Linked DNA regions of Mus musculus. The protein of the gene in region 1 interacts with the protein of each later gene in a pairwise test. Links are inferred from orthologs where the notes say so. Each region holds a gene or a part of one and is shown on either strand. Other genes may lie near its edges. The genes, in order: Marchf2 and Furin.

Evidence for each region.
Region 2: the proteins of Marchf2 (region 1) and Furin interact in a protein complementation assay, tested with the Homo sapiens proteins (2 studies listed by BioGRID). The link is inferred for Mus musculus from reciprocal best matches to the Homo sapiens genes MARCHF2 and FURIN.

The regions. Positions count from the first base shown.
Region 1 is NC_000083.6:33,694,629-33,698,437, forward strand, and holds part of Marchf2 (E3 ubiquitin-protein ligase MARCHF2), read right to left. Parts: intron 1,619-3,809; coding exon 1,409-1,618; intron 1-1,408. UniProt on the Homo sapiens protein: E3 ubiquitin-protein ligase that may mediate ubiquitination of TFRC and CD86, and promote their subsequent endocytosis and sorting to lysosomes via multivesicular bodies.
Region 2 is NC_000073.6:80,399,843-80,404,292, reverse strand, and holds the start of Furin (furin preproprotein), read left to right. Parts: upstream 1-1,480; 5' UTR 1,481-1,763; intron 1,764-1,892; exon of another isoform or gene 1,893-2,500; intron 2,501-2,798; exon of another isoform or gene 2,799-2,866; intron 2,867-4,450. UniProt on the Homo sapiens protein: Ubiquitous endoprotease within constitutive secretory pathways capable of cleavage at the RX(K/R)R consensus motif. Mediates processing of TGFB1, an essential step in TGF-beta-1 activation.

The DNA.
Region 1 (3,809 bases):
GGAAGGAAGAGAGAGGGGGAGGGAAAGAGGGAAAAAGAAGCAAGGAAGAACTTCATTGGTAGTGGCCCAAAACACTATTTGTAACAGGTGAAAATCACACACATTACCAAAAGTCTCAGAGTATGTCATAAAGGAATTGACTAAATAAATACAGTACAGCCACACAATCAACTCGTGTTCTCCAGAGCGACCTCTTTTCTTTTGAAAGGATATTAGCAAAGGATAAAACAAGCAGTACATATGTTTTCATGCAATGTATGTATTTTAAAATGTGTCCCTTTGTGATGGGAATGTATCTTGAAGACTACATCACATCCTTGTTGTGCAAACACTGCCAGTACTTAAGACACCACTAAGCAAAACTGGGTAAGGATTCCACCACCCGAGCTACATTCTGGCCAGATTTCTTTCTTTCTGTGTGTCTTTCTTAACTTTTTATATTAATTTAATGTCTCTTTCACAATTTCATTTATGCATATATACATTCTAATTGCTCTCACTCCCGCTCATTTTCAACACCACCCCTAACCTCATCAAACCCTCCCTCCCTACAAAGCCTTTCCCCATAGTCATGGCTTTTGTTTTACTCTGTGTGGCCAAGGATTCTGGTACACACCAGAACCTAGTGGGCCCAGCTGTGGATACACAACTGAAGAAAGACAAAGTCTCCCCTTCTCTGGAGTCTATCAGAAGCCAACAGTTCAGCAGAGAGAGGTGAGGGCTCATAATTTTTTGGAAGATTTTTAATCTATACTTTTGCTACATTTATTTAGTTATTTCCATGGCAGCATACCCCATGGCACCCTTATGTTAGGACAGATGGCAACCTGGAATCAGCTCTCACCTTCCACCACATAGGTCCAGGGAGTCAAACTCAGGGCCAGCTACTTTACTGCTAAGATGTTTCACCTACCCTCAGTTTCTTTCTTTCTTTCTTTTTTTTCAATTTATTTATTTTAATTTATATGAGTACATGGTAGCTGTCTTCAGACACACCAGAGAAGGACATATGGATCTCATTACAGATAGTTGTGAGTCACCATGTGGTTGCTGGGATTTGAACTCACGACCTCTGAAAGAGCAGTCAGTGCTCTTAACCACTGAGCTCTCTCTCCAGCCCTACCCTCAGTTTCTTAATATATATCTGTTCCACTTCACTCCCAATGTCTTCTTAGCTTCAGCCTTTTACTGATCTGTCTTCCTTCTTCCCAACTGACCCACAGTGATTAAATGTTCTTGTGCCCTTGAAACAAAAGGCTCACTACTGGCTGGATGCATCCCTGGACCTGTGTTACAATGTCAACCTGGAACAACAGGAAGCTGAGGGGACCACTTCCAGCAGAAGCTACACTCATACACAGCCTAGGGATTCCAGCTGAGCCCACCCACATGGGCTTTACCCACTCACCAGTGTCCAGAGCACATAGATGGTAAAGAGGGCGATGGTGAGGGCAATGAGACCTACAGCTTCCAGCCGGCTATGCAGACGGAGGTGGTCCTGGGCCCCTCGCAGGCAAAGCCAGCCTGAGATGGCAGCCAGTGGTGTGATGAACACAAAGCACACCATGTCACAGCACAGTGTTCGCTTCTCAGTGCGCGGCCCTGGGTCCTTTAGCCACTGTAGAGATGCAGATGACAGAGAGGGGTTATGTGGATGGGTGCTGCAGAATGGATAGGGAATGGGGGGCAGACTGTAAGCCTAGATCTCCATATTTCTATTAATGAAAGGAGTCTGCTGAGTGCTTGTCCCCATTTTTCTGATGTGCAAATGGGGGCATCAAAATAAAAGAAGAGTTAATTCATTCATGCAAATTCCCATAGCAAGAACAGACTGACTATTCCTACCCTAAAACTCTATAATCCAAAATGTTCTAACAATCTGAAACTCTAAAACAGAGCATAATGGGGAAAGGGGGACTGGAGAGCTGGGCCAGAAGTTAATTGCAGTTGCTACTTCCAAAGGACTGGAGTTCAGTTCCCATCATCTACGTTAAGGGCTCATAACCAACCACCTGTAACTCCAGCTCCAGGAGATCCCATGTCTTCTACCTGCCTCTCAGCACCTGCACCCGAGTGAACATACATACATATACCTAAATAGGAAATAAAAATAAATTCTTTGTCTCTTTGTTTCTGAGTATCTCTCTATGTGGTCCTGACTGTCCTGGAACTTGGTATATAGACGAGGCTGGCCTTGGAACTCACAGAGATCCTCCTGCCTCTGCCCCCCAGTGCTGGGATTAAAGGTGTACCACTGTGGTACAGTAGAAAATTCCACACTGTGAAACTCTGTGTGTGTGTGTGTGTGTGTGTATGTGTGTGTGTGTGTGTGTGTGTGTGTGTGTGTGTGTGTGTGTGTATGTGTGTATGTGTGTGTGTGTGTATCATTTATCATCATCATCATTACCACTGTCGTGGGTGCCTGTTTTCTCACACAGAGTCTCATGCAATCCAAGTGGGCCTTGAACTTCTGGCCCTTGTGCTTCCAAGTGCTGAAAGTATGGTCCAATGCCCAGCTCAAAAGTATTTAAAATATTATATCTAGGGTATAATTTAATGGTTCAGCACTTGCCTGGCATGAATGAGGCCCTAAGTTCAATTACTAATATCACCCTAGAAAAGAAAGAAACAGAGGAGGTGGTGATGTAATCCTATAATCCCAATACCTGAGAGATGTAGGAATAAGCATCATGAGTTCAATGAGTTCAAGGCCAGCCTCTTTAGGTCTGAGGTCCTCCTAGAATATGTGAGAACCTTCCTCAGCAGGCAGAGGTAGAAAGTGGTGGCTTGAGTAAAGATGCCCTACGTATGCCCCTATAGTTGAAAACTTCGTCCCCAGCTGATGACACTGCTAGGGAAGAATTAGGTGGTGTGGCCTAGTTGGAGGAGATATGTCACCACACATCATTTCCAGTTAGTCGTTCTCTATATCCTATTTTCAGGTAAAATATAAGGTTTCAAATACAGCTATGCCTGCCTGCCTGTCTGCTGCTATGCTCCCTGTCGTGATGACCACAGACTCACCCTCTAAAACCATAAGCTCCCAATAAACTCGCCTTGGTCACGGTGTCTGATCACAGCAATAGGAAAGAAACTAAGACTGACACTGAATTTTTTACATGTGTGTGCGTGTGCGTGTGCGCGTGCGCGTGCGCGTGCGCGTGCGCGTGCGTGTGTGTGTGTGTGTATGAGGTAAGTAAGGTGGCCGTGAAGGCCAGATGAAGGAGTCAGTCCCTTCAGGAGCTAGGCTTACAGGTGGTTGTGAATAGACTGATGTGGGTGCTGGGAATTGGACTTCAGTCCTCAAAAAACCAGTAAGTGATCTCGATGCTGAGCCATTTCCTTCCAGAAGGAGGGAAAGAGAGAAAAAGAAAGATCTGACCATGTATGTTGACTCCAAGACACTCAGTGAAAGAGTTCTTGCCTAGTGTGAGCGAGGCCGTGGGTTCCAGCAATACTAGAAACTAATTAACTAAAGTAATATATTTTTATAAACCTACCTTAGGAGGAGAGTATAAGGTATATATACACCTCTGTTATTCATTAAACATTCCAACCGCCCCTCCCGGAATTCTCAAAATCAAAACCACTCTATTCCCAAGCTTTTTTTTTTTTCAAGACAGGGTTTCATGTAGCCTAAGTTGAACTTGAACTCAACAATATAGACAATACTGGTCTTGAACTTCTGATTCCCACTGCACCACCTCCTCAGTGCTGGGACTATAGTCGTGTGGTACCATGAAGAGTTTTATAAAGTGCTAAGTATCAGATCCAGGGCTTTGTGTATGTTAGGTCATATGCCAGATGAA
Region 2 (4,450 bases), on another chromosome or scaffold:
ACCCTGTCCCTATTTCCCCTAAATGGGTGATGTTGCTCATAGCCTAAGGAAAATCTCTGACTCACTTCCTGCCTCAGTCTCACCACAAGAGTATTGTTCTCCCAAATGTGCATGTGGTGGTGCTGGTGGGGGCTACCCCACAGTGGTCCCCACAGGTCTTAGCTCCTTCTAAGGGAAAGCCCCCAATCTGGGAGGAACCAGACTTTTAGAGACCCCATGTCTGCAGTGTTTTAACGGATGCTCAAATAACAGATTCAGTTAACTTCATACACATCTCCATTTTCAGAGGGATAAATCGGGGCTCTGAGAATTTAAGGTTCGAAATAATGCAAAATAGTACCGCAAGGATTTGAGCCCAACTTTCCTGGACGACTTTCCACACAAATGATACGTGTGTATGTGTGTATGTGTACTACTTTGAGGGTTTTGAGGCAAAGTCTCATGTGGCCAGGTTATCTCACAGAGAGCAAGAAGGGATGTGCAGAGGCCGCTGGCGACCTTGGAACAACCCAGCCTGGGAAGATCTTGGCCCGGTTCCCCTCTTCTTTCTCAGCTCGAGCAGAATGTCAACCTTCCGCCAAGTAGCACAGCCGTTTTCTAGGGCAGGAACCCAGGGAGGGAAGGGCTCTGGCTGGTATACTGTAAGTAGCTTGGAGTGAAACGCTGCCAAGTCTGAGGCCTGCTAAGTTGTGTAGCTTAAGGAAAATTATTTAAACTTTGTGTGCCTCAGTTTCCTTATCTGTAAAGTGGGATTAATAATGTCATCCTGAGCGGATTATGTGGATTAAGGAATGTACATAAGGAGAAGATAGGGTGAACTGATTGGCCCAGTGCCTAGCTCTCCGTTGTTGCAGGGGGAAAAAAAAGTATTGGGAAAAAAAAAAAACCATAAAAGGAGGTGGGCTATTTCTGTTTATCCACCTGTCTCTACAAAAGCAAATAAAACTGTGACTCCTCTAACTGGAGGCACGAGGGCTGCCCTGCCGCTGTGAGATCCGACCTGAGAGTGGAGTTGCCCCAGGTCCGCCATCCCAGGGCGCTTCCCTTGACTATCCCCAAACTCAAAACTCGGGACCCAGGAACCTCGGGCAAGGCAGGGCCAGCTTGGACTCTCCCCAAACCCCCCGACCCTCGGCCCTTCCCTCGCCATCTCGCCCGCGGGCTCCCAGTCCGGGTCTCCGAAACCATCTGCCCGGGAGTTTGCGGGGCCAAGAGCCTAACGCGGTGCGGACCGAGGGGCCTGGGGTGGCGCGCAGGGACCACGCTCCCTACCCGCCCCGCTGGCAGCCGCAGACAGGGCGCCCCGAGAACGCAGGGCCCGCCGCGTGGAGCTCTCTGAACACCGGCCGGGCCCGGCCGGGCCCGGCCTGACCCGACCCGGGCGGCGAACGGGCCGGGCCGGCTGCGGCCGCCGAGCGCGGAGGTGGCGCCGCGAGGGGGAGGGGCGCGGCGCGGAGGAGGAGGAGCCCGGGCCGCCGCCGCCGCCGCCGCCGCTGTGACAGCGGCCCGAGTAAACAAGCCGCGCCGCCGCGGCCGGGCCGCTGCCCCCCGCCCGCGCCCGAGCCCAGGCCGAGCCTTGCCCTGGTCGCCGGCCGGGCCGAGGCCGCGCCGCCGCGCCTCCCCGCCTGCGCGCCGTGACGCCGCTGCCGGGCGCGGGGACCGCCGGAGCCAGGCCCCCGCCGCCGGGCTCCGTGCTCGGCCGAGGGGTACCCGAGCGGCCGCGGCGCTCGTCCGGAAAAGTTTCCCCGCCCGGGCTCCCCAGGGTAAGCGGCGAGGGCGCGCGGCCCGGGGCCGGGGAGGCGGCGCGCTGGGGAACCGGGCCCGGAGCGGGCGGGGGAGCGCGGAGCCGGGCGGCGCAGCCCCGGGCCTCGCCGGCCGCCGGGCTCTGGTCGCGGATTCTCGGCCGCCGCGGCGGGAGGACGGGAGCCGCGCAGCCCACCTGAGCGCCGGGCTTGGGCCCGCGCCGGTACTTTTCCGCTGGGGCCGGGGCGAGCCCTATGACCTCAGGAAGCGCCGGCGGGGCCCCTGCTGGGGCGGGCTAGGCAGAGCATTCCTCGGACTCTGGGTGCTCCCGCCTGCCCGCGGTCCTCCGTGGCCCCGGCGGCCGGGGCCTGCGCCTGGTGGGGCGCGCTCCCGGGAGGGCACGGGGTCCTCGGCCGCCTGGCACACCTGTACGGCCGGAGCGGTCGGGGGCGGATTTCGCGTGCGCGCACAGGCCGGCTTGGGGGAGGCTCGCTCCGGGCTGCCTCCTGCCGAGGCCTGGCCGAGGCCCCTGCTGCCCCCATCCATCGGGTGGCTAGCCGAGGGGCGGCCTGCTTGCCATACAGGTCTGACAGCAGACACTAGTCTGCTCGGTGCCGCCGTTCCCACCGCCCCAGGGCTTTGCGCCTAGGGGAAGTGGACTTTCATCTCTCTGAAGCACTGGGATTCTCTCTGACTTGGGAAGTGCCAAGACGACGCAGGTGATGTGGCCCAGTGAGGGCATGTGGCTGCTGGCCAGGTGTGGACATAGAAAAGGAGGGTGGGCGAGCAGATTAGGTGTGTGTTTCCTGTTTTGGGCTTCTATCTAAAATTTGTATTTTTTTAAAAAGAGGATCCTATGGCTTAAAAAAAGTTTGAAAGCCTCTGTCCTAATAGTTTTTAACCACCAAGGAAACTGAGGCCCAGAGAGTGGAAATGACTTGTGTAAGTAGTTGAGCAGGGACTAGGAGTTAAAATTTCCTGGGAGGTGCCTGTAACAGGACCTGCCTTGGGGTCTCTGCTGGAAAGAGAGACCTGATTGGGTTTCCCAGCAGTCTTTGGTGGCTTGCTCTGTGGCTGCCTCAGCTGGGTCTCCAGGTCCTAGAAACAGCAGCCACACCTGGGGGTAAGTGCCCGTCTTATGCCTGGAATGGTTGTGGTTATCTCTGTCTGTAGGTTCTAGGGAGAGACAGAAAGGCTTTGCCTAAGAAAAGAGCTAGGACAGTACTATAGCCTATTCTCTAGTCAGGCCCAGCACTGATGGCTGGGCAAAACTGACCCAGAGAGGCTAGAAATATATCCAGTCTCCTGGTTTTGAGACAACTGGGACTCAGAGGGTGAGTCAGAGTCTGGAATGGGGGTGGGGAGAAGCCTGTTCATTCATTGTTCACAGTTCTTTTGTGTGTGTGTGTGTGTGTGTGTGTGTGTGTGGTGTGTGTATCCTCCTATGTGTCTTGATGACGAGGCAGGGCTCTCTGATGTCTGGAATTCATATCCCACCCTTACCACAGTTGGGGAGACTTGGTGTGGAGGGAAGCAGACCATCTTTCTCGAGGTGTGGTGGGGGTTCTGTCTCAGTGGCCCCATCTATAGTTTGCTGAAACCTGGGCTAGACCCAGACCGACCCAGCCATAATTTGGAAGTTGTAGGCAGGTCTCAAAACTTGGAGCAGGGAGTCTGCACATTTCTAAACTAAAGAGGTTTTAGATGTGGCAAGAGTCCTGTTTCTACGTGGAGGCACGGAGCTCTAACTCTGAGGCATGTCTTCGGAGCCCTTTGGACTCTGCCCTTCAGGCATGGAGTCTGCCTCGTGGATGTCTCCTGCCATCAGCTGTCAGGTTATTTTGGTGTAAACTGAAAATACTCCAGGATTGTGTGTGGAGTCCCCTCAGCCTATAGGGTGAGATGGCAGCAGTTAGGGAGGCTGGGTAGCTAGTGGCAGTTCCTGGAGAATCTTGGCGTTCCCAGTGGCTAGCAGATCTGCCCAGCTCCACAGGGCAGTGTGCTGAGGTATCTACATTTTACCATTTGGCCAAGTGGCTACCTCTAGGGCTGGGCCATGGGAATGGTAGGGGCATCGGGATCCTGGCACTTAGACAGGACATCCCCAGCAGCCTACTGGAACCTCTCCTAGCTGCCACCTACCCCAGGAGCTTGGCTTGTGGCTAGTCAGGGGCCCTTTATGGGGACAGTTATGTGGCCCCAGGCAGAGAGGTCTTGCTGTCTGTTTGCTGAAGGAGGAAAAACACCACTCAGGGCTACTGATTCGGCCTCACCTTGGTGTTCCAGGCTCAGCGCCAGTGTTTGCCCTGGCAGCCTGGCTCAGATTACGCAAGGTGGTGGGCCTGGAACACGCCAGGGGGCAGCAGGGCTGGACTAGCAGGAGCAAAGTTGCCCAGGAAACAGCTTGGGCCCTGCCTCTAAAGATGGCTGTCATCTCAGCCCTAGAGGGTGGCAAAACCTCAGGAATCCCTCATGCTCAGAGTGTGGCTCCTCAGCCTCCATCCCAACTCGAGTCACCCACTCTTTCCTCTTGGGGACTGAGAGTCTTTTAAATAACTCCCTACAGCTCACCTTTTTGCTGAACCAGGATGCCCTAATTGAGTTGGGTAGACTCTGTTCATTTTTTAAAGAGCCAACATTTATTCTTTTATAAAATATGCCTGGATATTTTGAGAGCGTACAGTAGCACAAAGCAGAAAGTAACAAT